4 linked regions of the Caenorhabditis elegans genome follow. The protein of the gene in region 4 purifies or fractionates together with the protein of the main gene of each other region. This does not show direct contact. Each region holds a gene or a part of one and is shown on either strand. Other genes may lie near its edges.

Region 1 (7,735 bases), on a different chromosome or scaffold from region 4:
TCATCAGCCTCTCGTTCTCATTAGTGATCTTGTAAACTACAAAGGAGCTCTAAAGACGCCAGGACCTGCTGTTATTAGAAAAGATATAATGGATCAAGCTTTGAGTAAAAAAGAAGAAACAGAAGGTCTCATGAAACCATTAAGATGTACGGAAAAAATGGTAGTTCGGAGAGAAGCTCGTCCAATGAAGGTAAATATATAATTTTTGTCTGGCATTGTTCAGATTTCAATATTTTTATTTTCCAGGAAATAACTGCCCCAATCCCATTGAAACAACAAAACCAATTTGCTCTTTTGGGGAGCGATGTCGATTCGGACGATGAAGAAAGTAACGTTCCGACAACAAGTAATTTAGTATCTTCACCTCCAAAAGATTGGTGGAAAGACGAGGAAGAAGGGTGGCAAAAAGTGCAACAAAAAGAGTATGTTGTTGAAGTCGAACGCGATATGACCGAAGATGAGATTGAGGCGGCGAAAAAACTGGATGAAGGTCCCACATGGGAAGATCAATGTGACGAAGATGCACCAGCAACAGAAACCAGTTCAGCTATTGAATCTCCAGCGAAAGAGGAGCCGGTTGCTGAATTACTAGAATAAAACGTATTAGATTTTTTACATGCACTATCACATCAATTTTCGATGTTACTATTCATATCCTCAATTGTACGGTGTAACAGTTTGTTTCAAGTACATTTCCATTGTTTTGAATACTTTAAAATACGGTTTGCTTGTTTTAACTAATGAATAAATATTCTCTGGTGTTTATATTATTTTAATTGCGTTCCTGTGGCCCAGTTATTTCCTGTGAAAATATTTGTTTGAGACTTTAAATTTTAATTGAAAGATGAAAATAGAGAGAAGGCGCCTTAAGGCACGCGGGACTGACAAAGTGTGCAAACACCGCCACGCGAAGACGCACACTTTCGGTTCTTTCACAATTTTTTTGCCCGTTCTTCTCAATCAATTCTTGCTTCTTTTTCCTTTTATCGAAGTAATTCTCGTGTGAAAAACAACTCAAAAAATTCGAATTTTTCAGAAACTGGGTAAAAATGCAGTGCGACGATGTGACTTGGAACATTCTCAACAAGGGACAATGCGCCTACAAAGCGTGGACAAAGCCAAAAATGTTCTGTAAAAATGAAATGAATTTGACTGGTTTGTGCAACAGAGCTTCGTGTCCATTGGCTAACTCACAGTATGCAACAGTTCGTGAGGAGAACGGAGTATGTTACTTGTACGCAAAAGTTGTCGAACGATCTCACTATCCACGTCGTTTATGGGAAAAGACAAAGTTGTCAAAGGATATGAACAAAGCATTGGAACAAATCAGTGATCAACTTCTTCATTGGAGTGAATATGTTAGACACAAGTGCAAAGCTCGTCTCATCCGAATTCATCAATATTTGATCAGAATGCGTAAAATGGCAGTCCGTGGAAAGTAAGTTTAAACTTATAGAAACTGAATTTTGCATAGTATTATTTATTTTCAGCCAGAAGAAACTCATTCCAATTGGACGGAAAGTGGAAAGACGTGAGAAACGTCGTGAAGAGAAGGCACTTGTTGCAGCTAAACTTGATCACGCTATTGAGAAAGAGCTCTTAGCCAGACTTAAGTGAGTTGATATATTAGAAAGTGCACATTTTGAATGAAACAACTTTTAGACAAGGAACATATGGCGATGTTTACAACTTCCGTCAAGAGGCATTCGAACAAATGCTGGAAAACACTGAAAAAGAGTTGGAAGTGGAGCAAGAACTCGAGCAGGACGACGCAGACACGGGTGAGACTCAGTTCGTCGCTGACTTTGATAGTTCCGACGATGAGGATCAGGACATGGAAGACGGAGGTGATGGACATTGGTCACCAGGAGATACTGACAGTGAGAACGAGGATAATTGGCAGCCAGAACAAGAACAAGAGGATTCGGATGAAGATGATGAGGAAGGAGGTGATGAGCCAATGGAAATTGAGGAGCCACCAAAGAAGAAGGTAAAGAAGGAGCCGAAGAAAAAGACTGGGAAGAAAGCTGCTGATGGAAAGAAGAAGAAGCTCAAGAAACGAGCTCATGTTGAGATTGAATACGAAGAAGAAACGGAGCCACGACAAAGGGTCAAGGCATAAAACTTCGCATTCCATTTTGTCTGTTATCGTTATTTTTGTTCTTTTCTTTTATTCGCCCTCTTCCAATTGTGTTGTTGTTATTTGCTTTTTAATTTTTAACTCTTTTACCCAAAAATTCAAATGAAAATTGTTACTTTTCCTTGTTTACTAAAAATTAAACTGATTGGTTTTTTTTCCAATTTTATTTTATTGTTCCAATCACATATTTTTGTACTCTATAAAACCCATTGTTTTCAGAGAAGACCGGGAGGAAGCCATGGATTCGCCGGCGTGGATGTTCACGAAGGCGCTGAGCCATAGACAGAAGGTAATTTTTATTTTTGAAAAGCTTTAGTCGTTTGTGAAATTGGTAGCGTTGTTTTTTAATCTGATTGGAGATTTCGTCTGTTTAAAATGTAGCGAATTATTGCATTTTCAGGTCACCCGCCTCTACAAACGCTGTCTTCGCGAAGTTGACAACTGGTATGGAGGAAACAATCTGGAAGTTCGCTTCCAAAAGTGTATTATCCGTGCTCGATTCGACGCTAACGCTGATGAGGTTGACACCCGTAAGAGCCAGATCCTTCTTGCCGACGGATGCCGTCAATTGTGGGAGAAACGTCATTTCAAGCCTTTCCGTTTTGCTCTCGATCCAGGAGGTTCCAGTTATGATCGTGAACGCGAGTCGCCGGATGAGATTGTCGATTCGGATCAATGGACATTGGCTGAACGTGAACAGTTCCCCTACTACTTCAATACTCGTGAGCAGAGAAAGAAGGAGTTGCTGACTCACTGGGCCAAAATCGAAAAAGCTTGGGATGAGGAGATCGCGTCAATTCAAACCCAACTACCAGCTGCTGCCCCAACTGTTTCCAAATAGGCCACTATGAGGAAGTAATGCGATTGATTTTAAGTAGAACGAGCTCACTCGTAGACCGAATAATTTTGTTTTGTTTTTTATGAATTTAACGTCACTGAACAAATAAATATAGCTGTATTTTCATTGTATATTATCATTTATTATTCATCTGTTTAAATGGTTATTGCTGACCATTTGCATATTTTTTCCAATTTATTTAAATTTCTTCTTGTAAGCTTTAAATTAAACATTTTATTACAGAGATCTATCAGAATGGATGGATCTACAGGGTTCACATGTGTAACATGCCGTGTCGTCTTCGAGACAGCCGAGCTGCAGAGAGATCATTACAAAACCGAATGGCATCGGTACAATCTGAAAAGACAAGCTGCTGAGCTTCCAGCTATAGGAATTGAGCTTTTCAATGAGAAAGCTGCATCGTTCAACCCAACAAAGGTAGGGGAAAAGTTTTCTAATGTTCGCTTAATACTTACTCATTATCAATTTTTCAGCCAGTCGTTGCTGCTTCAGTTGAACCATTGTACTGCAAGGCTTGTCGGAAATCAATCAAATCGGAGAATGCAATGACTGATCACGTAGCTAGCAAAAAGCACAAGGAAAATGAGAAGAAGATTGAGGATGATGTGAAGAAAGGTCCAAAGCAACCAAGAAAGAAGCCAGAGAATTTGCCAAAGAAACCTGAGTCACTAAAGGAACCTGAAAATGATGAAGATGATGACTCGAGTGGATGGGAAACTGACGATGAGGAGGAAGGTGTGGAGGAACTAAATGAGGATGATGCTCTTCCAGTCACATCTTGTCTGTTTTGTCCACAGACAAAGCCTAATATGGATGAAATGCGTACTCATATGAACTTCCATCATGGATTCCAACTTCCAGACAGGCAATACTTGAGCGATGAACTTGGATGCTTAAGCTACTTGGGACTTAAAGTTGGAGCTGGTCGTTGCTGTATCTTCTGCCCAGACGTTAAAGCCAGATACGAATCAGTTCAGAGTTGTCAGCAGCACATGCGAGATAAGCAGCACTGCAAACTCCGCAGAGATCCTGAAAGCATGATTGAGCTCGACGACTACTATGATTACAGTCCGATGTATGATGGAGATGATCAAGATAAGTCAGAACTGTTTGATGATGGATGGTCGCTTACTCTCCCTTCTGGAGCTAAAATTGGACACCGTAACCTTCATCGATATTTCAAACAATACCTTCGCCCAGTTGATGGTACACAGAGACTTGTTTCAAGAGCAGCACTCGATAAAGCAAAGGGATTCTATCCAGCTCTCGCTTGGACTGGAACTACGAGTAAGTTTTATTAGAATTCTATGACATCAAATAGTAGAAATAAAAAGAAATGTAACAAAAATAATATTTCAGCTGTCGCGGCCAAGAAGGTTGCTCGAGACATGAAGTTCGTTGAGCGTTTCCGTCGTCGTTTCGATCTGCGTGTGGCAGTCAAGTCGAACAAGTTGTTCAAGACAAACGGATTCGTCGGAGACAATCATTGACCACTTCATTCCAATTTTTCTGTTCCTGTTTGCTAACCTTGTTGTTTTTGCCGTTACCCCCGTTATGTTGACATTTTTCAATGAATATCCATCTGAAATAATTCGCTTCGATATACCAAAGAGGGATTTGGTAATGATCTGGTTTTCAAATTCAACACAATTCTAATTAGATCAAGTGTTTTGACCAAAATTTTCTTCAAAGGGAGGACCAAGTTATTACGAGCGCAGGTCTCACAACGAACACATTTACTACGGTAATCTTCAACTTTATTCATCATACAACGAAATCTTCCCTATTTAGAATTTAGCTTTTTCTTGGCGTATTCTGAACATTTTTTGCTAAATACGTCGCTTTTGTTAAGCAATTAAAAAATAGAACTATACATTTTCGCTCTCGCCTTCTAAATATTTATTTTTCGAAAACATTTCTTCTTCTTTTGATTGGCTACGGTATGCGAGTCCGCAATAGTCCGTCGCGGTGATTGCACACTTTTATCTTCCGAGAATTTTTTTACAATTTTATTTTCCATTTTCTCATTAATTTTTCCCCGAAAAAAAAAAAGAAAATGCCATGTTTTTGTTTTCAAAAAATTGTCGATATTTTATTTACTCGTAATATCTCTTCCGGGGTGATGAATATTTTGTTTCAGATGGTTAAACTAGATGAGGTAACAAACGAAAAGTGCTTCCCGCGTGGTGGTGGTTCGGACAAGCCAAAACCATTGAACAAATCCAACTCGGACTTTGTAGGAACGAAAGGAGGGCTAAAGGTTTGTTATTATCTCTCTTTTCATTCTAAGTATTCAAGTTTTAGAGAAAGTCCGCAGCCCCAGAACAACACGAGGCCAAGAAAGCTAAAGAAGAATCTAGCTGGATTCCGAAGGTTGAGGAGAACTGCTTCATTGAAGGACTCACAGGTTTTGGGGTAGTTTCTGAGGTTTTCGATGATGGAGTTCTTCTGCATACCGCTGGTACACATACCGTCAAGATTCATGCTTCAGAAGTCTCGAAGAAGTTTACGGAACTTTTCAACGAGGAAAAAATTGAGATTAAGAATGCATTTCAACTCGGCCAGATGGTTCCATTTCGTGTGATTAGTAAGAAGCAAGGTAACGACAAAGGGAAGGTGAAAGGAACTTGCAACCCAGCTCGGCTCAACAAACATCTCTCTCCAAATATGTTGGCTGCCGGTCTCGTTCTTCATACCGCCGTCGTCAGTATTGAGGAGAAGGGTGCTATTCTGGATGTTGGACTTGATCAAATAACAGGATTCATCGAGAAATCGCAATTTCCAGCAGCAGGATTGAAAGAAGGAATGCCACTTATTGTTCGAGTTCTATCTTCCACGTCAAGAGTAGTAAAAGTAACTTCCTTTGTGGAGCAGGACAATTTGAATATGACGTCTTGTGAGAAGCTCCAACTGAACCATTTGATGCCTGGAACAATTCTCGAATGTGAGCCAACAGGAGACGCAGTTACTGCTGGAGTCATTGTAAACATTGGAAATGGCCTGAAAGGAATTCTCCCTCGCCGAAATTTGCCTCCGCGCCTTCGTGAGAATCCGGAGAAGCTCGGGAAAGCCATTAGAGCAATTGTGATGTTCTGTCAACAAAATTCAAAAATCCTTGTACTCAATGCACACCCAGATATTGTTGCTGCCAGTCGTATCGAAAAAAGAACATCGTTTGAAGGAATTTCAATTGGAGACAAAGTCAAGTGCACTGTAATTGATGTACTCCCAACCAAAAGTATGGTGTACTTTGCTCTCCCTGCTATCGATGGAAAAAAGTCATTGGTCACTGCGGTGTCATCTCGAGGACTTTTGGAAAAACCAGATCAAGTTTCTACTGAGTATGAAGTTGGAACGGAAAAGCTGTGTCGAGTCACAGGATTTCGATATGCAGACCGATCGATCACCATTTCAACGAGAAAAGATATTTTGAATCAAAAAATTACAAAATATCAGGTAATTAAAAGTAAAATTAAATATTCCATTTTTATATTTTCAGGATGCAAAGTGTGGAGATGTACTTGATGCTCGTGTTCATCACGTGGCAAAAAGTGGAGTTTACTTCATGGTGTGTAATTTTGTAAAAGCATTTGCTCCTTTGAGCATGCTTTCGGATAAGCCACTTCCTGCGCAAAAAATGAAGAACATCTATAAAGTTGGAACTGAAGTAAAATGTCGTGTATGGCAGATTTGCGACGAGAGAAAAAATTTAATCGTCACATGTCGAGAGTCTATTCTTGGATTGAAAAGTCCGTCCGTCAACAGTGTTCAAGAGTTGGAGATTGGAGTTACTGTTCCATGCGTTATCAGAAAGGTTTTCCCAACGGGAGTTCTTCTTCTCGGAACATTCAATAACATTTGTGGAGTTCTTAGAAAGGAATCCGCCGTTCATTTGCCAGGAACACCGAAGAACAACGATTTTGTAGTTGCTAATGTGGAGAAGATCGAGGACAACCGAGTTGTATTTGTGCTTCGTGACGTTAACCCGAGTGCTGCTGTTGCAAATGGACAAAATTCCGAGAAGAAACTGGTTCAGAGACCGAACCCAGCTGATGGAGGTATATCAATTGGAAAGATCTACAAAGGATCATTGTGTGCCAAGGCAGGAGAGAAAGCAAATGTCACTTTCACCGGTGAAGGAAAGAAAGAAGTTTATGCTTCTGTAGATGATCATCTTCTATCCGATCTTCTTGATGCTCCAATTGGACTAACAAAGAGATTGTTGATTGAGAATAAGGAAGATATTTCAACTATTGTGCCAATGGGTAAAATGGCAGCTATCAACCGAGCCTGTGTGAAAAGATCTGTTGCTAGTTTTGTAAAAGGAATGAAGCTACCAAAGAAGATTGATGAGCTGAAAGTAGGAAAAGTTATTGTCGGAATCGTTGGGCAAGTCATCACGAATGTTGGAGTATTTGTGGAGCTCGTTGGAGGAAGTGGACTTGTTGGAAAGGTTCTGGAAAGAAGTGAGCAATTTTTATACTTTAATGCTTATTTTTATTTTTCCTTGCTTATAGAGAATGCCAAGAACACCAGCGAACTTCTCGAAGTTGGACAAGTCATTGTGGGAACAATTGAGAGCATTGATACAACGAAAAAGAGTTTTCTTATTGATCCATGTGTTAGTTTAACCTAAACTTGTAGTGTAATGAAATTTAAATTTTAGACTGATCTAGAAACTGGCGAGCTGATGCTTAAGAAATATGCTCTTCCACTTTTGGAATCAATTGTTGAAG
Region 2 (8,658 bases), 2.1 Mb from region 4:
GGACCGACCCTTTCGCCATGGATGGTCACAGTTTTACAGGCGACAAAGGTAATAAAACGATAATTTCTAAAAATGACTTTAAAAAATTATTTTCAGCTACTTCTTTTCGCACTTTGTAATATAGTATTAACACTTGGATCAGTTTTTTCGAAACTCATCGTATTGATCATGGCTACTAACATCGTCCCTCGAGCTCATCTCATTGGGAAATTCGCCAGGAAATGCACGAAAGCCGCCGGTAAGATTCATTTCCTCAAAACGTCGTAATTATTTTTTTTTCAGTTCGACGTACATCTACAACAACTGCGGGAATATATCTGTCGCTACTATTGATTCAGTGTTTCCCTGATACTATCAATCTGATACGTTCTGGCATAGATATGTGGAAAGGACAATGTGGTCAACTCGTCAAGTCAGTGGTTGTTCTGGAATCTCTTCGAGCAATCGGACTCGCCGTTCTGAGCTTCCACGTTTTCCCTCAATTGGATCTCGCCAGATGCCTTGTTCTCAGCGCATGCTTCCCACTTGTGGCTGTGTTGCAAAGATCTTTGGTAGCAATGGTTTCTGCTGCTAGAACAGGAAGATCATTCCGAAATCGTCTCGGCCGATGCTTCGTTGCAATTCCACATGTCATTATGTTCTTGGTTCTCATGAGTAGCTGTTATGTTTGGGCGCTATTTGATAACAAGTTCACAGCTATAATTGCACTTCCGATTGGAGTAATTTGCACTTCAGCTGGCTTTTGGGAATCTTGGATTGACACAACGCATTCTGGTACTTCATTTGATGAGTTATACAGGCTCAAATATGCTGTACGGAAGATGAACACCACCACGAAACTTATTGTTTCCCTCATGCGCATCGTTTGTACAGTTTCAGTTCTGGTGAGCATAATTGATTTTTTCTGGAAGAAAAATTGTACTTACAGGTATCTGCTGTCTATATTAACGATCACAAGAAGCTTAATTCATCTCATTTTGTCAAGGCATTCTTTAGTTTCAGTACACGGCAACCCCACACGTGAGGATATCAAAAACTGAAGCATTTATACTAATTCCCTAATTACAGGAGGCTTCTTCTACTAGCCACCGGAATCATTGTTCTCCATTTTGTCATGCGAGGGATTTCACGCTTCTTGGCTGCTCTTGATCTGCATCCGTTCTCTTTCGTGCACCCACTCTCCATTGCTCCTCTCATCGCTTATGGATACGTCCGTTATGCTTGCCAATCACCCACATGTTCAATAGCTCGACGATTGGCTAGATTTGGTCTTCATTGGGTGTGTGATCAATGGTTCCAAAGCGCACGAGGAATCGCATCTCCGGACTTTTACATTTGCCTTATTTGGTTGTTGGTAGGATGCTATAGAGGATGGAGATTGGTTAGACAACGATACTTTGATACGAACGAAGAAATGTAAGTTGAGGCAATTTTGTTTTCATATTTCAATAATTATGTTTCTAGCATCTCTTCAATGCCTCCTGTCTGTAATGGCCTCTGCATCGAGCAATCTCTTGTGGTATTCCAACATTCACTGAATCGGCAAGAAAAAACTATGCTTACCGAAGAAGAAGACATATCGGATGAGAATGATGAGCTACGAATTCGAAACGATGAAGTTGACAGAGTGTCTACGGTTTATGGATGTGCAACCATGTGGCATGAAACAGAAACCGAGATGCGACAAGTACTTCGTAGTATTCTGAAGCTTGATGTGGATCATGCGACACGTATGAACAACAAGAAAGCTAATGAACTTCGATACCGATTGGAAGGTCACATTTTCTTCGATGACGCATGGGAAGATGTCGAAGAAGATGGAATAGAGAAAAGGCAGCCAAATGAATACTTCAACATGTTCTTTGACTTGCTCAATGAAATGACTGGTGAAAGATTAAATGAAGAAGGAAAGATGGAAACAAGAATTCTCGTCAATACACCTTACGGTGGTCGTCTTGTTGTAAAACTTCCATCAGGAACTTTACTCTTCGTACATTTGAAGGATAAAAAGATGATTCGACACAAAAAGCGATGGAGCCAAGTTATGTACATGTATTACCTTCTTGGTCATCGTATCATGGATTGCCCACTTTCTATTGAAGATAGACAACAGATGGCTGACAACACGTTTATTCTGGCTATTGATGGAGATTCTAAGTTCGAACCTGACGCACTTCTTCGTCTTCTCCACTTGATGAATGCGAAAAGTGATATTGGATGTGCTTGTGGAAGAATTCACCCAATTGGAAATGGTATAATGGTTTGGTATCAGAAGTTTGAGTACGCTATTGCTCATTGGTTTCAAAAGGCTGCTGAACATGTTTTCGGTTGTGTCCTTTGTGCGCCTGGATGTTTCTCATTGTTCCGTGCATCTGCATTGATGGATGACAATATCATGCACAAGTATACTAAGACCGCTTCCGAACCACGTCACTACGTCCAATATGATCAAGGAGAAGACAGATGGTTAAGTACATTGCTTTTGAAACAAGGATATCGTATCGAATACGCCGCTGCGTCTGATGCTGAAACATACGCTCCGGAAGGATTCGAAGAATTTTTCAATCAACGTAGACGCTGGACTCCTTCGTCGATTGCTAATACAGTAGATCTTCTGATGGATTACAAGAGAGCTTCAGAAAATAATGACGCCATTTCATATGCCTACATCGCCTATCAATTCCTTGTGATCTTCTTCTCAATGCTCGGACCTGCCATTATATTCACTATGCTCGTATTCGCCCAAGTTGCTGCTTTTGAACTTCGAGGATCTGATGTGATGCTCTATAATGGAATTCCGATAGGATTTTTCATTGTTCTTTGTTTCACAACAGAGTCGAATATTCAACTTATCTATGCCAAGTACATGTCGATTGCGTACGCGTTCGTAATGTTGGCTGTGTTAGTCGCTACCAGCAGTCAAATTGTTCTCGAGAGTGCGTTTTTACATTATCCCTTCATCCTGATTACGACAATTTTCAGCTGTTCTCGCTCCTACATCTCTCTTCATTGTCACAATGGTCGGAATCTTCTTCTTTGCTGCATGTCTTCATCCAAAAGAATTCACGAATATTATCCATGGTGTCGTATTCTTCCTCATGATTCCATCTACATATGTGTTCCTCACTTTATATTCGCTCATCAATCTCAACGTTATCACGTGGGGAACTCGTGAAGCTGTCGCTAAGGCAACGGGACAAAAGACGAAAAAAGCGCCTATGGAACAATTTATAGACAGAGTGATTGATATTGTGAAAAAGGGATTCAGATTAATCAGTTGTCGGGAGAAGAAGGAACATGAAGAGAGACGAGAGAAAATGGAAAAGAAAATGCAGAGAATGGAGCTAGCCTTGAGAAGTATTGAGGTTATCTTTAACTTTAGAAATGTGAAATTAATAATTTATTTTCAGAGTGGTGCCGACGTGAAGAAAATTCTCGATGCAACAGAGGAGAAGGAGAAACGTGAAGAAGAAACTCAAACTGCAGATTTTCCGATTGAAGAGAACGTAGAGAAGACTCAAAAAGAGATTCAGAAGGCAAACCGTTATGTGTGGATGACAAGTCATAGCTTGAAAGTTTGTGAACGAGGAAAACTGAAAAGTGCGGAAAAGGTTTTCTGGAACGAGCTCATCAATGCATATCTGAAACCGATCAAGACGACGCCAGCTGAAATGAAAGCCGTCGCCGAAGGATTGGCTTCTCTACGAAATCAGATTGCTTTCACTATTCTTCTCGTTAATTCTCTTCTTGCTCTTGCCATCTTTTTGATTCAGAAACACAAAAATGTGCTCAGCATCAAGTTCTCGCCAATCAGTAAGCAATATTACCTTTATGGTCAATTCAAAAAATTTGTTTTTTTTTTCTAGAAAACTTCCGATGGACGAAAATGAATGAGATGACTGGACAATACGAGGAAACCGATGAACCATTAAAAATAGATCCACTTGGAATGGGAATTGTTGTTTTCCTTCTAATTATTCTTTTTGTTCAAACTCTCGGAATGCTTCTCCATCGACTTAACACTATGATAGGAGCTTTCCAAGAAGTGAAAAATTTGTACGAATACGGAGTTTCACCAGTGATAAATACAAAGAATGATGATGAGAGGATTATGAATAATGGTATTTTCTTTTTAAAACTAAGTTTAAAGACGAAACAACTCAAAATTATTGATGAATAATTGTCATTAAATGATTTTAAATTTTCGCAAAAACTAAAGATATAATTTTCAGCTCGTCTAATGATTAATTCTCTCGGTGTCAGTACTGGACACGCTGCCGACGGCTATACAAGGCATCGCGGAGAGGAATCCGATACCGGCAATGTTCTCTACAAACTTCAAAAGGCTCGTCTCGCAAAGCGAATGCAAAGAAGTGCACTTTCCACAACTGAATAGTGCTAAAATTGATTTTTATTTTTTATTTATTGCATACCAATTAGTATTATTATTATTGCATGCTCTTACCTCATCTCTCGCCTTTATTAACTTCTGTTGAATGAATTTGTAACTAAAATAAAGAAGAGGAAACTTTTCACCCTCTTTTTAAATGAGAAACTTTAAGGGATTATATTGTTCCTGCTTGGATATTTTATTTGAATTATCCGCTCAAATGTCTTACTTGAAAAGTTCGGGCGAGCACGTTTGCAGGGTCATTCTTCTTTCGCAATTTTTCTCCATTCTTCCTAAAAAAATGTTTTGATATCCTCAATATTCGTAGTTTTGAAGAATTTGCAAGCAGATCGCTTTGATTTTGCAGTAATTATATATTTTTTTTCAGTCAAAATGCAATCCCTGGACATAAAACCGACAGTTGGTCTAATCGCTTGCTGCGAATGCGGTGTTGCGATTGAACCAAATCCAGCGAATATGTGCAGTGGATGCCTTCGCTCGAGGGTAGATATTACCGAGGGAATCACTCGGCAATGTGAGTTTTCTAAAATTGTTGAAATAATAATTTTTCAAATTTCAGGCACAATTTACATGTGCAAATTTTGTGATCGTTACTTTGTTCCACCAAGTGCATGGATGAGAGCAGAACTGGAATCCAAAGAACTTCTTTCGATTTGCTTGAAAAAGTTGAAGCCAATGCTAACGAAAGTAAATCATTCACGGAATCACTTCAGTTTTCAATAAAATCCAAAATTTAGGTTCGTCTGACCGATGCGTGCTTTGTATGGACAGAAGCTCACTCCAAGCGTATCAAAGTGAAAATCACAATTCAAAAGGAAGTATTCACTAATACAATCCTACAACAAGCTGTCGTCGTTGAGTTTACCGTTCACAGTCAATTGTGCGATGATTGTCGTCGTGCTGAAGCCAAAGATTTCTGGCGTGCTTGTGTGCAAGTTCGTCAACGTGCAGAGTTCAAGAAGACTCTTTTCTATTTGGAACAACTTCTCCTCAAACACTCCGCTCACAAAGAATGTACTGGAGTCAAGCCTGTTCCGACTGGAATTGATTTTTACTTTGCGAAACAACAAGAAGCGAGAAAATTTGTCGACTTTTTGATGACTGTACTTCCATGCAAATATCACTACGCGCAGGTTTGTGAAAGTCGATGATGCTGAAATAATTGACATCAGTTTGCCTACAAATCAGGGGTGCATAGCAATTGCCGACCGGCATTTTTACGAAATGAGCCAGAGGGGCATGCTCTCCCAATATTTTTCAGTAAAATGTAAAAAAAATGTTTTGATTTATCTGAAAATAACTTTTTATTAACAACTGAAAGTGCTCAAAAAATTACTGAACGTTGAAAACTACCCGAATTGTTTTTTTTGTTGATAATTTATCTGATTTTTTCCGGCAAAGCAATTATTTTTTATGTATTTTACCATTACATTTTGATGAAACATATTAGAAAAACATGTCAAACTGTATCATTTTGTAGAATTGCCGCGCACCCCTTTTTCAAATTATTCTCTGAATTCTTACGAGTCAGTTCGCAAAACACCATATTATATTCACCATCAGTTATGACATTTTCTTATTTCAGGAACTTGTCTCTCACGATACCAAAAACAACACATACGATTACAAACACACTTTCTGCGTTGAAATCGTACCAATCTGCAGAGACAATATCGTTTGTCTCCCAAAGAAACAGGCTCAACAATACGGAAATATGTCACAAATCGTTCTTTGTCTTCGTGTCTCGAATGTCATCACTCTCATCGACCCCAACAATTTGCAGTTGGTTGATGTTCAAGCGTAAGTACAAATATCTAGAAAAGAAATGAAAATTGGCATATTACAGAACTAATTTCTGGAGAGAGCCTTTCGATTCTCTTTGCGGACCAAAACAATTGACAGAATTCTACGTTCTCGATGTGGAACCTGTAAATAACTTTGAGAGAAAGGCAGGCCACGGATATGTGAGTAAGAAACACGAATTGGCAGATGTATGGTTGGTGAGAAGTGATCAAGTTGGAATGTCTGATGCTCAATCTCTATCAGCTAGAACTCACATTGGACACTTGTTATCACCTGGAGACTTGGTTATGGGTTAGTTTCAATTATTGTGTATAACTTTATTTACTTACTTCTAAAGTTTCTGATTAGAATTTTTTTGGAAAAACATTTTTAAAATTCAGCATTCGACATGAAGAACTGCAATGTGAATAATGCAACTTTCGATGCCATGAACATTGATAATGTTCCGGATGCAATTATTGTCAGAAAGGTATTTTTACAGTTTTTGGAGGAATACTCAATATTTTATGAATTTCAGGTATTCGATAGAACTCGTCGTACAGCCAAACGTCAATGGAAGTTGAAGAGATTGGTTGTTGATGGTAATATTGTTGGAAATGAGACGGCATCAGTTGCTGATGAATTCCAAGGATTTATGGAGGATATCGAAGAAGATGCACTGATGAGAGAGAAGATTAATATTTATAAAGTGAGAGAAAATTAGAATGATATAATGTTGTAAACCAAATAAATTGCAGGACGCAGAGAAAGGACCAAATGTTGATGGAGACGACGCAGAAGATCATCCAGATGCTCCAACTCTTGCCGAAATGCTTGATGATTTGAAATTCGATGACGAGGAGATGAAAGAGGCTGAAAGTGCAGAAGATGATGAAGCTATGCAAGAGTAATCTTCGCTCTATCTCAAAATTTCGTTTTTCTCCATATTGTTGTCTTCTATATTTTTGTTTGCAATCTGATCATTGTTCCAACCTATTCCTACTACTCGCTTGTTGTTCTGTTATCACATTTTGTTTATTAAAAATACCCCGTTTTTTGTTCGTTCTCCTTATTTTTTGATAAATCTGTTTTCAAGAAAAGCTACGCCTACAATACTTTGCTGTTTTAATCACTTAAAAACTATTACTGCATCATTTCTTATCAACATTCTTGCCCTTTACTCACCTTATCATTTTTAAGTGCATTTTCAGGTCTAGATTGTGCTTTTTCTCATTATTCTTGAGATTTTCCTATTTGAATTCATTCTCAGAAATAAGTCTGTATGCCGCCGTCAAGGGCGTCGTCGAAAAATTTTACGTTTTTCTGGAAAATCGTAAAAGTTTTTTTAGGATATTGACAAAAAATTCAACATTTTGTTTATGGTGTCATCGAAAACTTCTCGATTTTTCAGAGATAATTGAAAAATTGAAAAACGAAAATTTTAGATATTTTTAAGAATCGGGAAGAAGGTTTAGAAAATTAACAAAAATCCAATTCTTCTTAAATTTCAGTTTATTTTGATGAAAAAACAGAAGAAAACATATAATTTTGTTTTACTTGAACAAGAATCAACATTTCGAGACATTTTTTTCGAAAAATTGGGAAACGGGAATTTTTAGATTTTTCCTTTTTTTGTAAAAAATCTAAAACGACATTCTTGATGCTGCTGAAAAAAGTTATCTTCTAAAAAAATTTAAGTTTTTTTCGTAATATAGAAAACAAAAAGCCTTTTTAAAATCACCCGGAAATTTCGAAAGTTAGGATATTAAAAAAAAACATCTACCTCCACGCTTTCCAAAAAAAGTTTGTTCGGTTCAAAAATTGTGTTATGTTCATTCTAATTCTCTTTTGGCACACAATCTCTCAGACATAAAAGTACCGTCCATTCAATTCGCGCATTTCTTTTCCTTCTCTTCCACTCTCACTTTCTGACTCTTCCCATTTCTAGTCTCACAATCCTTCGAAATATACACGAGTATTTCACATGTTCCTTGCCTCTCCGTCTCTTCTCCTCAAATCGATGCATTTTTCTCTGCACTCTCCACTGTTTTCACACGTTTTCATTTCATCTCTCATCCTTCACAACACCATGTTTTATTTTCTCGTCGGCCGGAGTTTTTTGTCAAAAAATGAGGGAGGAAGGAGGAAGAGAACTGAGACCCAGTTTAATACTAGGCATATCCTTGGGCTCCGTGAGCCGCGTCACTTCTTGAAAACAATTTATTTTAAGATTCAATAGTTTCTAGGTTCGACATGATTTTGTGATTCCTAATGCTTTTAATATTAAATCACAAATGACTGTAACGGTAATGCAATTTTTCAAATTTATGCCAAAATTTTCAGATTTTTTGACAAGTTGACACAGATTCATTCAGATGGGTCTCGGCGCGCAAAAAAGTTTATGGTGGTGCTTCGAAAAAAATCACAATACGACTACCATAAACTTTTTTGCGCTCCACACCCAC
Region 3 (7,115 bases), 1.3 Mb from region 4:
TTTAAGTCTTGAAACAAAACTCAAAAACAGAACTTTAAAATGTGCAACAAAATCATGAGAGAAATTGTCCCGTTCCCGTGATAATTTTAACAACGGGACAACGGGACGTCCCGTTCCCGTGAAAACACTCAAAAAACGGGACAACGGGACATGGGACTTGACACCCTTGGTTAGGATGTAAATGTTTTCACTTTTTGAAAAAAAATCTCTGAGACTACCGTAATACGAAATAAACATTTATTTTGTGCAAAAAATTCAAATTGAGAAAAGAGGCACTAAGTTTGTAAACATTTTCAGTTTGTGAAATACGACAAAAAAGAAAATGTCGAATATGCGATTCGAAATCCAAGAAGTGATGTGATGAAGTGTCGAAGTCATACTGAACGAGAACAACATTTTCCATTTGATTCATTTTTCTACATTAGAAATTCAGAACACGAATTTTCATATAGTGCGGAAAAAGGTAACGTTCGAAATATGAATATAACGGCGAATTCTACAAAATTTTGGTATTATCCAAACATGAAATATTGTGATTTTTGCACCACAAGTACGGTAGTCTCGACACGACAAATTTTTGTTAACTGTAAAATGGAATGCACCTTTAAAGAGTACCGTAATTTTTTGAAGCTGTTTGTTGCGGATTTTTCATAGTTTTTCGATGAAAATTTATTTGGAAACTCAAATAAAACAACAAAAATAACATTAAATTTTTTAAAATGTAATTAAATGGAAAATCGCAATTTTTGAGAAAATCGGCAAATAATTCCGATGGAACATTTTAAAGTCAATTTTTAAACATTTTTTTCAAAATTTTCAGATCAGGCGAATAACTTTCTTAAATATTTTAACACTATTCTAGTTGAATCAACATGTTCAAAATTATTGCATAATAAATAATTTTCAGGAAGTACATTTACATTGATAATGTATCCAGGCGCAGTTCAGGCGAATTTTGATATAATCTTCATGTGTCAAGAGAAGTGCCTTGATTTGGATGATCGACGAAAAACGATGTGCCTTGCGGTCTTTTTGGACGATGAAAATGGGTAAATTCAGACATAATTTCAAATTTGAAAAAAGAATACTGAAAAAGCTTTCTACTACTGTCCTACTGTTGAAGAAATATGCCTTCCTCTATTCACTTGAAACAGTGTTTCTTTTCTACTTAACAAAAAGTCAAAGATTACTTTCAAATAATCAAAATAATTTAAAATATTTATTCCAAAATAGTTTAAAAACGACATCTACTGTTCTTACTATTTCCAGATAGGGGGTCGTGTAAGAGAAATGTAAAAATTCTAGGCCAGTCTGGAGTCATTTAAAAACGCGGCAATGTTTACCGCGTTTCAAATCAATTTTTTGCTAATTTTTTAATAACACTTATTGCTTGATCTTTATTCATAATCAAATACATTTGTGAATTGTTGATCTTTTTTTTTGAACATTTGTTTTCACTCTTTGAATTGGTTCTTTTGAAAAAGCTCTTTATAATCGAGTAAAATTAATAGTGAAAATCTCTCTTTAAACATTTTAATATACTAAATAAAAACCATTTCAGAAACGAAATTCTCCACGCATACATCAAACAAGTTCGAATTGTTGCCTATCCACGACGTGACTGGAAGAATTTCTGTGAGCGAGAAGACGCAAAACAAAAGGATTTCAGATTTCCCGAGTTACCTGCCTACAAGAAGGCGAGCCTAGAATCGATAAATATCAAACAAGAGGTCAATCTAGAGAACATGTTCAACGTGACCAATACTACTGCACAGGTTTGTCTAGAATATGATTTAAAAGAATTTGGAAAATAGTAAATAACTTCAATTTCCAAAATCATGCCTTGTAGAAATATCAATTTTCTGCCAGAAGAATATACCATATTTATCATGATTCTTTTCAATTTTCTATAGAAAAACGTTTTCTTCTTGTTTCCGTCGAATGAACAAAAACTGAATTGAAATTCGATATCTTATCTCCCAATGACTTCCTTTATGCGTAATGTTTGCTCGACCACAAAGCTTTGAAATGTTTTATTTCGATCTAATTTTTTAAATATATATGCTCTAATTCCCAAGACATTCAATTATTTTCTCAACGCAATATGAAATAAGATTTTAAATTTACAGATGGAACCATCAACTTCATATTCATCTCCATCAAACAGTAATAATCGGAAGAGATTTTTGAATGAGTGTGATTCTCCAAATAATGATTATACAATGATGCACAGAACTCCACCAGTAACAGGTTATGCAAGTCGTCTTCATGGATGCGTTCCTCCGATTGAAACTGAACACGAAAACTGTCAATCTCCGTCGATGAAGAGAAGTCGCTGTACCAATTATTCGTTTAGAACGCTCACTGTAAGTATTTTTAGCTCACTCTTAAAGCAATATTATAATTAATTTTGATTCACAATAAATTTCAGCTGTCGACTGCTGAGTATACAAAAGTCGTCGAATTTCTGGCACGCGAAGCAAAAGTTCCCAGATACACTTGGGTTCCGACGCAAGTAGTCTCCCATATATTGCCAACTGAAGGACTTGAAAGGTATTTATAAAGATTTATAAAGATTGCCGTAATTTCTTTTTTTTGAAGATTCCTCACCGCTATAAAAGCAGGGCACGATTCAGTGTTGTTCAATGCAAACGGAATTTATACAATGGGGGATATGATTAGAGAATTCGAGAAACATAATGACATCTTCGAAAGAATTGGTATCGATTCTTCGAAATTGTCGAAATACTACGAAGCGTTTCTCAGCTTTTACCGCATCCAGGAAGCGATGAAACTGCCAAAGTAAAAATCATATCACCACCTGGTTTAATCGCCTAATTTGTTTTCACAATATTCATCCTTTTCAAAGCACCGCATTTCTCACTAGATACTCAAACTGACATTTGTTCCTTTTTATAATCGCATTTTTTCGTAATAAAGTTTGTTCGTTTTATCAATTCAAAACTAATTTTAGACAGTCCGGCTACGAATGATGTTTACGGAGACAAAACGAGTCTGTCGACGAACATAAATCGACTCAGAATGAGAATGTCACCGAGACTTGAAGAGGTATTTGATACTACAATAAAATCTGCTTCCTTTTTGAATCAAATCTGCACGTTGCAATCGAATCGATTGCTTCCCACAAAGCTCAACTACGTTTAATGAATATCTTCATCATAACGGTAACGAACAATGAACAACAAATAGATTTAGATGAATCCGATCTTGTTGGCAACATCAAGAGCATCGTAGTCCGAAGCCAATCGAACGTAAGCTTTCTTCTGTTGGAGTGGAGTAATCAGGGTGTTGACCTGTAAATTTGAAATATTACGTGAACTGATAATTAGGAACATACCTTAACAGCCTTGACGTTGTAAAGGGCATGGACGGCTCTCTTGATGTGATGCTTGTTGGCCTTCTCGTCAACAATGAAGACAAGGGTGTTGTGGTCTTCGATCTTCTTCATGGAGCTCTCGGTGGTGTGTGGAGCCTTGATGACAGCGAAGCTATCGAGCTTGTCTCTGGCTGGAGCAGACTTGCGGGCATATCTATAAAAATCTGTATTAATAATCGATTTTTATTAGAATCGTCTTACCTTGGAGCTCTGGCAGTCACAAGGGTCTTTGGGCGTCTGAAGTGGACTGATGTACGAACGTTCTTGCGAACGTTAGTCTTGCTTCCCTTGACGACAGCTTTCTTGGCTTGGATAGCCTTTCCCACTTTGTTTGATGACGGAGCCATGTCTGCAAGATTTAATAATGAAAGAAAAACTGAAAAATGAGCAAGATCGATGAGAAAACAACAAATTTAGGCCAAAAAATAAGCAAATTTCGAAGGAAAATGAGAAAGTACAAATTTCGTAGGAGGGTGCAGACACGGAGTAAAGAATAGCGTCAGTGGGCAATGATTGACGCAAATATTGTTCAGGATTGAAAAAGGAAGAACAACGCTAAAATTTTAGTGGGGATACATTTCCTTCAAAAATGAACCGAAAATTTAACATTTTGATCTGAATTTCAATGGGGATTACAAATTTAAAGAGTTTTCAGAAGGATTCAACGAAAACTTAATTTTATACGTAAAAAATTTATTAAAAACGAACGGAAAACCGTTGGAAACGACGAAAATCGCGAAAAGAAGCGAAAAAAGTTTAGGAATTGAAACTAAATTTGCATAAGCAGACTACGGTTGTCGTAATCGTGGCGGGACCCACTTGGTAGCAATGCGCTACGCTCCTTCAAATTCCATGTGCCTTTAAAATCGTTTTTAATTAAAATTAAAAACGAATCATTTTTAAATTAAATTTCAATGAAACAAGTGACAAAAACAAATTTTAATGAATAAAGTTTAATATATTAATTTGTTTTTTATTTCAAAAGTTGTTACACAATTTCAACACCCAAGAAAGCTGCTAAACTAGATATAAACTGGAATCACAAAAAATAAATATATCTGCAAATATTTATGATAAATTTCAACTTGTTAGAGTTTAAGTGCACGTCAAGTTCGCACACATTGCCAAAAGCGGAGTCATCCGAAGATAATCTTTTCACCAAATAACACAGCCACTCCTTGTTCCAGAGCTGTATCATGCGCGAATGATGAGTAGATATTTGGGCAAACATTTGTAACCTCCAAGCGTTTTTTAATCTTCTCACAAGCGCCACTTCACAGTCTCGAAACGAAACTATTCCTATTCTTTCCTGAAGATGCTCCGTTTTTTATTTTTACTAAATTTCGCATTTCTTTTTTCGGAGGCGATTCGATGTCGAAGTTGTTACAGTTATAATGGTCAAGCATGTGTAAATGCACCGGATTGTGAATCTGACGTTTGCTTATACGGTATTAATCAAAATTCATTAAATAAATGTAAATGCAGTAACATAATTTAGAAAAAAAAATAATTCCAATAATTTTATTTTCCAAAATTAATTATAAAATTTATAAAATTTCGATATTTTTGAGAGACCATTCACTTCTGAAAAACCCAAAATATTTTCAAGAACAACTAAATGCTGCTAATGGAATAACACATGTCCTTCGTACTTGTTACACAAAGGGAAAAGCTTATCAATTCGATGACGGAGTCACAATGTCTAACCTGAATCAATGTGTGACTCGTACAACACGTCAGGGTCAATACTACGTGGCATTGTGCACAACACAGGATATGTGTAATAATGACTGTAAGACACAAACACAACCAACACTTCCACCAGTAAATCCAACACCTCTCTTGGGATCTGTCACATGTTATGAATGCTCAACAAATGATGGAACTGATTGTCAGACGAATACTTGTGAAGGCGCATACTGTCTTTACGGTATGTTTTTTTTAATATGGAGACGTGTAAAAAATGCGCTCAGTGCAATCATGCTCCAATGCCAAATGAGAAGATCCCGCCCCCTAAGTTGGGTCTCGCTAGGTATCGGCGGCAAAAATAGTAGATTCAAAAATTTCACTTATTTTCGAGGTCTTCGCCCGATTTCAAGCAGTTTTTCGGTTTTATGTTAAGTTTATTGCAGTAAAATCAATTAAAAATGCTTGAAAACGAGTGGAAGCTGACAAAGATTATGGAAAACATTCGAATTTTCGAACTTCCCGCCAATGCCTAACGAGGCTGAACTTATTTATTTGGCGTTGGAGTGCAGTAGCAATTTTATTTCAAAAAACGCCATAAAATAAGAATTTGTAGAGCGTCGCCTATTCAATAATCAAATGTATCTTCGAAAATCATGTCTAATTGAGCCAACTATTCAACTAGATGATGAGACAACAGTTGCAAGCGTTGGATTGTGTGAAGTTAGGAATACTGTAAATAGTAGATATTTTGTGAAAATTTGCAATGATGTGAATCTTTGTAACAATTATTGCAATCCTGGTCAAACCCCGCCTATTCCACAAAGACGTAAGAACTTAGAAATTATAAAAGATCAGTAGTCAAATTGAAACCTTTCAGAACCACTGGTGAGATGCTATGACTGTGAATCTTCAGATTCTGATTGTTTTACGGGTTCATGTGAAGGAAACTTCTGCATTTTCGGTAAGATTATATCATTTTCCAGCTTAACCTATACAATTTAAGAGCGTCAACTTCGAGTTGGAACAACTAAAACATATTATCGTAAATCTTGCTCTGCACTTGCATATGCTCAATACCCAGATGGTACCTACACCGGTGTGCCTAACGTCTGTAACTTTAGAGTTATAAATGATGTTGAATATAATGTCAAGGTGTGTAATACTGGAAATCTATGCAATTCACAATGTACACAAGACACGTCAGCAGGTAGACGCGTAGGTGAGACCACCGTAATAACACGAGTTACAGTAACCTGCACTGAATGTAGTGCCGTCAATTCAGATGATTGCTCTGGTGGGACGTGTCAAGGACGATTTTGCACATTTGGTAAGATCATTGACATAATTTAACTTTACTATGGTTTATACTTCAGTACGATCCAAAAATCAGCTTGATCCTACGAAATCAACAGTGAAAAAATCGTGTGCAACAACGTCGATTCTGAGTTTTCCAGATAATTCTGCGTATACAAATATTAATCATTGTCAGTATAAGTAAGTACACTTTCTAAATTTCAAAATCTAAAATTTAATTCCACATTTTCAGAATGGCTGGTTCCATTCAAACAGCTATAAAAGCATGCAACACATCATTTTGCAACACGGCATGCTCTGACATACCACTTCCAACTCCTGCTCCACAAAATTCGGTTTCATCAAAAGTTTGCAACGCTGAAATATTAATAACTCTGCTTTTGTTGGTTCTTGCTGTGTAACATAAAATCATGTGATCTTATATTTCTCCTTGTATCTGTACAATTCTACGTTCTTTTCATTAATAAACATCTCCATCAATTATCAATTCGTTGAGTTTTAGAAGAAAACTAGAAATTTTCACAATTTCACATCATTAACTAAACCAATGAATGCAATTCCAGTACAAAAGTTGAGAAATCTGTTTCTCCAAGTCTCAACTTCCCGGAATTCTTGGAGTCTCTCTTCCGAAATCCGGCTAATGTTAAAGCAGATAATTTATAAATAATAAAAAAATCAATAGTCCAAAACATTTGTTTTTAGATTTTCAGTTTTT
Region 4 (6,981 bases):
AGTATTTTTGAAATTTCATTCCGTGATTATTTTCATTCCGTGATTATTTTCACTCGGGAATCGCTCGCCCACTATGGGGGAGTCTACGCAAGGACAACGCAAGGACAAGGACAACATTCTAATGGAATGGAAACAATTGCCAGACTGCACCAATTCTAGTTCAAGCGAACAATGATAACTTTTGTATTCTGTATTCCTTCACGTCTCCCAGCGAGCGTAATAAATTATTATTATTATTATTTCTGTTTTTCTACCATACAACTACAGTAACCCGTTGGTGTAAGGTGTTAGGCTACAGACTAAAATGTTAGGCTATCCGTAAAGTTTCTTTGTCTACATTTTCTGATAGGGTTACATATACAGTACCTACCAAAATTAGAAAGCGTTCCTGGATTTTTTTTGGTCATTTTCAAAATTTTCAAATAATTTTAACTCGAAAAATAATTAATGTATTACAGAAGATTCGCTGACAAACTTCTTTTGCAAAACTAACTAGTTTTTGAGTTATGCTCAATTAGAAAACCTATAAAGATTATTTCTTGGCCGATACTTCATGTCCAAAAATAGGTGACATTTAGGGATCATACATAATTTTTTCAACTCAACGTTCATTGCTCACGATATTGAAGAGCCTACCGAGTATGAAAAACCATTCAAACAATCTACCGTACTCATTTTCTAAGACTTTTGCAAAATTTGGTTGACATGCGGTTTCTCTCTCAGGTCAAAGAGCAGACTATCAAAAAGAAAACAATGAAACCGTCCCCCAATTCGACCTGACACAATGATTCCCAAAAACTGATAAAGAATTGTTCTTCCCCTTTCCTTCCACGGAATTCCTCTGACTTTTCACCCCTGTCCCTTCATCATTTTCATTTTCTATTTCGCTATCCATATCACATCATATCATATCAAAACGACACCACGTGACTTTTCCCCCTATTACATTTATAGTTTGTCGCAATACGTTGTTTTATCACTGAATTGATATACATATTTAAATTAATGAGAGAATTTGTTAAATGACTGCCAAACAGTTTTTTCTCGTAGACTTCTTTTCTCGATCAGCAGCCCCCGAAAAGATAGAATCTTTAATGATTGTCCACGCATTTAGACTCCCTTCTTTGATTTTTCTTATCACTTTAGAGTGTCTACATGAAAAATCTCACCCTTTTCGCGGTACAGTATCATTGAAGAAACGTGGAATTAAATACACGAACTTCTATAAGTTTTAAGGAAGGCGGATTTATTCGAATGAGGTCTCGTCGGGAATTTTACGAAAACGATCTGTGTATGCGTCTTTATGTTTACTGTATACCTATAGAAACTTCCGGCTTCTTTTTCTGTGTTTTATAGTTTTTCAAAAACGATAATTACTGGAAACTTCACTTACAATGTTGGGTGTTTTCCGAATTCAACTCGTGACCAAAAATTACAATAAACCAATAAAAAATAAAACTTAATTCATCTACAGTAAACCTAAAAAAGCGCGGCGAGAGTTTGCAAATAAAAACATTCTGTGAATAATCATGTCCAGAGAGAGAAAAAGATGAAATGGGAAACTGAAAGCAGATTTTGATTTAAAAAATTACATTGTAATTTTCTGAAACAAGGTTTCTTAAAGACACACCGATTTTGATATTATTTTCCTTTCTATTAAGATTTTTTTCAAAACAAATTTCTAGCTGTTTTAACGATTTTTCTCGATTTTTGTTAAGAATTTCAATGTGCTTGAGAACAAAAAAATGCAATAGGGAAGTCGAATAAAAGGAAACCTACAGTAAACATTTTTCTCGCGACGAGACCTATCTGAATAAATCCATGCGCCTTCAGGCGGATGTTTCAAAAAACCATCAGAACTATGATAATAGGACTTTCCGCCAAAATATCGGAAGAACAATCTTCAAGATGCAAAAATATTACTACCATATCATATCAGCTTCTTCCATACACAAATAGTGATATAAACAGCCCCCACGCGGTCGTCCTCATCCATCCGTCGACGTCAAAACTTCCTCTACAACGAATAAAAAGAAGAAGAATGTTCTGATCAGTGTGTATGTGTATATATGTCTATGTCATTGAAACCTCTAGGCTATTCAATTTTTATCTCTCCTTCTGTTTCTCCGTGTACCTTGTCTTATAAACTTTCTTTGTTGGGTGATTTCTGAAATTCCAAAATTTTCAGTCCGAATAATGATGGCATTAAGAAGAAGGCGACATGTGGCTCCAGATATAAGAAATAATGCTCACCAGTATATGTGAGATTTTAGCTCATAAATACCTATTTCTTAATTTAATTTCAGGAGAAGCTTGCGGGGGCCAGAGACAAATACGCTTTTTATAGGATATGCTATAAATCATGGAACTGTGGATCCAAGTACACCTGGGGTCTACAATAATCCCAGTACAGTTGTGGTAATTACATTTTTGTGCTCAACTCTTTGCTATTCGATGTAATTCCAGTTCACATTCAACGGAACCTCGTGTCCTGATCATTTTACCGAGTACTTTCATTTCCAAAAGGCCACCATTCCGCATGTTGATCCTGCGCTGATTCGACGAGTCACTCGGTGGATAATTGAAGACTTCAGATCCCATCGTGAAGTGCTCCCTGATTTTATTATTGTGCTCCGAGATCAAGTTCGCGATGATCTACAATCAACGGTACGTTTCCTATTAAAATAACTTTGAACGTTGCATCTTTCAATTTGAACACAACTGCGGCCTTGACCAATAATCTTACCACCACCTAGTATTTCGTTGAAACGCTTTTTCCTGTCCAGTAGTGAATATAACAAGAAATTCCAAAAAATCGTAAATCCAAGTGTATTCACAAAAGCGGGAGTAGAACAACAAGTAACAAATAACAAAAAGTTTAAAAAAAGAAAGAAAATTGGGTACTCAATTGGTCTCCATCGATTCTGCGGTTTTCTTTTCTTTTGCTGCCGCCCTTGTCTTGACACCATCTCTGTTTGCAACTGGAGCACGGATGAGATGCATTTTCTTGTCGACCTTCGCAAGGAGTCCCTTCTTCTGTACAATCTTTCCTGGTTGCAGACGTTTTCTGATCAGGTTACCATATCTGAAAAATAATAGTTGCTTTTTGATATAAATTTATTTTTATTTACCTTTTTGTTTTCAATGCGGAAATCGTTTTGGCAGCTTCAATGGTCTTTTGGAACATGGCTCTTTCATACTTGACAGGCTCATCTCTGCGCTGTTCGAGAAGCTGTGTGGCGTCGTTGATAAGCTCCTTTCCGCGAGCACGACGCGCAGCCTTGGTGAAACGAAGCTTTCTTGGGTTCTTCTTCTTCTTGAACAATTTGTTACATCTGGATCGGCAGAATTTGAACACCTAAACAGATTGATTGAACAGTTCGTAAACTAATTTTATTTTAAATAGTTCTTACTGTGCTATCGTTTCTGACAAACTGGATTCCGTGTCCCGGGTAGATGGGAGACGAGCAAAAGTAGCATTTTTCAATGCGCATTGTTACCTAAAATTGATAAAATAATTTATTAACGCAAAATACGGTGAAATTGGACAGTGAGAACATTGAAAAGTAACAAAATTAGTTTAGAATCAAGAATTGCGAAAAAATAAAAAAGCGATCGCCTTATGCGCAAAGGGAGAGAAAGGCGCCAGCGAGTGTTGCTTGCGCACTTTGCGTCGGTGATAAAAGCGCGGTGATTCAAATTGGAAATCATGTACCAAAGAAGAAATCGTAAGTTTTCAGGTAGAACATCAAGAGTTCACAGCTTTCAAAGAAGAAATATCAACATATATAGAGACTGCATCAAATCTTCCAGAATGGAATCCTCGATTTGCATTTGGATTGGCTCCATGGCGACCAGAAAATACGGAACCACTCGTTTATTTGTTTCAAGATGACGGAATTTTCCAATCAAACGAAGAATTTCAAAACTTAATTGTTAACATGTTTATAACAATTAGAGTTCGTAATCATCGATTTTCTCTTCTTGAACCTCTTTGGAATGCTGAAAACAAAGCTGGACTGTGGACTAAATTTTTTCCCAGTTACGCAGCGTAAGAATATTCGATTTCTTGATAAATCTTTTAATTTTTGATTTTCAGTTTCAGAGAAGCACACAACAATGCTCTACCTCGAATTGCTAACTCTTCTCAATATGATTTTGATACAATCTCGCTCCAACTTCACATTGACCCAGAAGTTTGATATCTAATTCCATTTCCTACAATACAATCTTTGAATTCTCTTAATCATGAAATTATGAAAAATTGAATAAAAAATTTTTAATGAAAAAACAATTGTTTAGAACACGAAAAAAGAATTTGTTTTTAAAAGTACAAAGACAGCCAATGATAATTTCTGAGTTATTTTTGAAAACCGTAGTGTTGTTGGTAAAATGAAAGAGCATCTAGGAGAGTTTAAGAAAGGCAACATGTGAAAAATTAAAAAAAAAAAAAGATGTCAAATGTAGGAGAATGATTATCAGAGTTTTTGTCTTCTTGCTTCCGGTTCTCCCTCATGGAGTTGTTGTTGGTGTATTTGATGATGGCGATGAGCTGCTGCAGCTCTTTTCAAAACTCGGAGAGCGTGATTTACATACCTGAGGAAGCAAAATATATGTTAAGTCTTATAGATTTAGTACGATCAATGCGAATATTGTTTAAAACATTTGTTATACTTACTAAATATCTTAGTAAAACTATTTCAAAATAATTAATTTTTTTATGCAAAAAGTTCGAATATAATACAATTAGGTGTATGCTTCTTTATGTTTCGTTTCATCAATATTAACAAAATTTGATGAAATTTTCGAAAATGTTTGTTTCTAAATATTTTCGATGTTTGTTTAATCTTTTGCTAACTAAAAAAACTAATTAATTGTAAAATTATACAATTTTTTCCACAGTGAATATATGATTGAAGTATCTTTTTTAAAAACAACAAATTAACGTAACTTCCGTAAAAAAGTTTTTTTCCGGATTCAGCCTTGATTTAACCTTTAGAAACTGCCCTGCATTAAAAAAACCAGAAATTCCCAAAAAGATCCAGTTTTTCCAAAAACTTTGACTGAAAATTTTGAAAACGTGCCGAAGATCAAAAAATTTTAATTATGATACTCCGTTTATTTATTTTTTTATAAATTAACTCACTCAATTAAATAGGTTTCAGTGACAGGATTCACCATAGTTTCAACGACATTTTCCGCAGTTCGTAATCCATTCGGCAACGATTTATCTGTTCTTTCTCGCATAAATTTCCACTCTTTTGGCTGAAAAAAAGTAACCAAATTAAAAACTAATATTAATTTCAACATAGATTTGCATCAAAAAATAATGTTTACCCGTCCTTGATTATCAACCAGCAGTGTACATTCGATAATTTTATTATGATACTTTTTGAGAGTTGCCGTTGCTTTCATTGTGCCAAATGGATCGGAAAGATTCTGGACAAATAAATATCCAATCCATTCGGGAAGCATTCCTTCTTTACATTTCCTGCAATTCGATTATTCTCTTGATACCCTTCAATTTCCTCTTTAGAAACTTACTTTTCAACTTTCAGTAGAAAATCAACAGAGTTGTGAGATGGTGGTTTCCACTTCAGAACTTTATCACATCTTCCAGTTTCATACTTCTGTAAAATATCATTCTCAAACACGTTCAAAATTTAATTTTAATTCTCACAGTTTTCTTCGGCTGGAAAATGAGACCATCAATTTCGTGTCCGACATGCTGCACAAATTTCGGTCCAAATAATTTAGCAGTTGCTTCAAGATCATAAAAATCTTTTCTTCTGACAGACATAATCTGGTTCTCGTGCTTCAGGCGTCCAGTTTTGAATGCAGCAGTTCTCATGTCGATAATTTCAGTTTTGATGATTTCAAATCGTTTATAAAATGGCTCTTTCATCACATTAACGCTCTGGAAACGAATAATACATTTTCTTTCCGATTGAAATCAACTTACATTGAATCGCATAATATCATAGATTAACATTCGAGGCTGATCACACATGGCTCCATTGATTTCAACCTGAGAAAACAAATAATTCATTCATAAATTATGAGTTTTCATACCTTATCAATGATGACTTCAGTATCCACAAGGGTTTCCATCAATGGTGCACCATTTTTTGTCACGAAATCAAGATTTTCAATCTCAAAAACCTCGTTATCACGATCAAACGCATAGACATCTCCATCGTTGATATAAATGATGTACCTAAAATTTTAAAAAATCTTTAAATGAAATTTTAAAGAATATTCACTAACCTCATGCCATCAGCTTTCCATGATACCATATATGATTCCTGTTCGAGTAAGTTTATGTTTCCACGGCTCAAAGATACGGGTTGGAGACCCGGAAATCCTTGTTTGTTGTATTTGCAGAGATTTTTAATCTAAAGAAAAAACTATACAGCTAAAGAATTGTGAGAAAATGATATACCTTGGCTTGAAGCATGCTCTTCTTCCCTTCATCTTCACACACTTTAACTCCTCGAATTAATCCGTCCATGAACAATTTCGAATTATCTCCTCCTCCGCTCAATTGATTTCCATTTTGATTATTATTTCCTGAATAAAATTATTTAAACGTTAAGGCTTGAAATTGAAGACAAACCGTTCGTTGCGGGAATTTGTTGGCTTGTCGATGGTCGTCCGTTGTCAATTTGTGTACTCATGCCAATAGACATTTCTCGTTCCCAGTCTGGCTTCTCGGGAGCCAGAATTTTGTCATCTTCTGTGGGATCATATCTTGCAAATAAATCATCGATGTAGTCTTGCTTGTAAATTCCCTTCTGTCGATTTTCAGCAAACTCTCCGATTGCAGCATCGAGACCATATTCCTTAAAAATATCCTGTCAGTTTAAAAAAGATAATCAACTTTTTATTCTCTGAGCTTTTTCTGATTCAAAAAGAAACGTATTTAATTAGACACTTCTCAACAAAATATCATGCGTTGATTCCAATAAATGAGTACATAAA

The links.
Region 1: the proteins of rsl-24D1 (region 4) and znf-622 fractionate together in Caenorhabditis elegans (co-fractionation; one large-scale study listed by BioGRID). This does not show direct contact.
Region 2: the proteins of rsl-24D1 (region 4) and T25G3.3 fractionate together in Caenorhabditis elegans (co-fractionation; one large-scale study listed by BioGRID). This does not show direct contact.
Region 3: the proteins of rsl-24D1 (region 4) and rpl-23A.2 fractionate together in Caenorhabditis elegans (co-fractionation; one large-scale study listed by BioGRID). This does not show direct contact.

The regions. Positions count from the first base shown.
Region 1 is NC_003281.10:6,378,413-6,386,147, forward strand, and holds znf-622 (C2H2-type domain-containing protein), read left to right. Parts: upstream 1-3,221; 5' UTR 3,222-3,233; coding exon 3,234-3,416; intron 3,417-3,472; coding exon 3,473-4,286; intron 4,287-4,358; coding exon 4,359-4,489; 3' UTR 4,490-4,584; downstream 4,585-7,735. Other genes in the region: nfx-1 (Transcriptional repressor NF-X1 homolog), read left to right, coding at 1-190, 247-597; C16A3.6 (Protein MAK16 homolog), read left to right, coding at 1,050-1,438, 1,491-1,613, 1,663-2,122; C16A3.5 (NADH dehydrogenase [ubiquinone] 1 beta subcomplex subunit 9), read left to right, coding at 2,379-2,429, 2,541-2,981; let-716 (rRNA biogenesis protein RRP5), read left to right, coding at 5,140-5,259, 5,304-6,455, 6,499-7,465, 7,517-7,620, 7,666-7,735.
Region 2 is NC_003279.8:7,555,061-7,563,718, forward strand, and holds T25G3.3 (60S ribosomal export protein NMD3), read left to right. Parts: upstream 1-4,778; 5' UTR 4,779-4,783; coding exon 4,784-4,925; intron 4,926-4,970; coding exon 4,971-5,098; intron 5,099-5,148; coding exon 5,149-5,544; intron 5,545-5,996; coding exon 5,997-6,211; intron 6,212-6,257; coding exon 6,258-6,505; intron 6,506-6,594; coding exon 6,595-6,683; intron 6,684-6,731; coding exon 6,732-6,902; intron 6,903-6,951; coding exon 6,952-7,104; 3' UTR 7,105-7,289; downstream 7,290-8,658. Other genes in the region: Chitin synthase chs-1, read left to right, coding at 1-48, 97-238, 283-884, 929-1,020, 1,069-1,416, 1,465-2,936, 2,983-3,365, 3,411-3,813 and 2 more.
Region 3 is NC_003279.8:8,325,902-8,333,016, forward strand, and holds rpl-23A.2 (Large ribosomal subunit protein uL23B), read right to left. Parts: upstream 3,747-7,115; 5' UTR 3,745-3,746; coding exon 3,599-3,744; intron 3,552-3,598; coding exon 3,359-3,551; intron 3,315-3,358; coding exon 3,213-3,314; 3' UTR 3,161-3,212; downstream 1-3,160. Other genes in the region: Transcription factor cep-1, read left to right, coding at 298-463, 908-1,049, 1,562-1,775, 2,130-2,366, 2,432-2,553, 2,602-2,806; C34B7.1 (UPAR/Ly6 domain-containing protein), read left to right, coding at 4,713-4,845, 5,007-5,327, 5,700-5,912, 5,964-6,047, 6,090-6,293, 6,336-6,413, 6,460-6,580, 6,633-6,801.
Region 4 is NC_003279.8:9,665,934-9,672,914, reverse strand, and holds rsl-24D1 (putative ribosome biogenesis protein RLP24), read right to left. Parts: upstream 3,501-6,981; 5' UTR 3,495-3,500; coding exon 3,414-3,494; intron 3,359-3,413; coding exon 3,132-3,358; intron 3,086-3,131; coding exon 2,905-3,085; 3' UTR 2,817-2,904; downstream 1-2,816. Other genes in the region: C03D6.1 (Piwi domain-containing protein), read left to right, coding at 2,200-2,261, 2,307-2,418, 2,467-2,667, 3,741-4,051, 4,100-4,202; cel-1 (mRNA guanylyltransferase), read right to left, coding at 4,479-4,596, 5,147-5,265, 5,338-5,491, 5,545-5,630, 5,681-5,917, 5,963-6,028, 6,073-6,217, 6,268-6,395 and 2 more.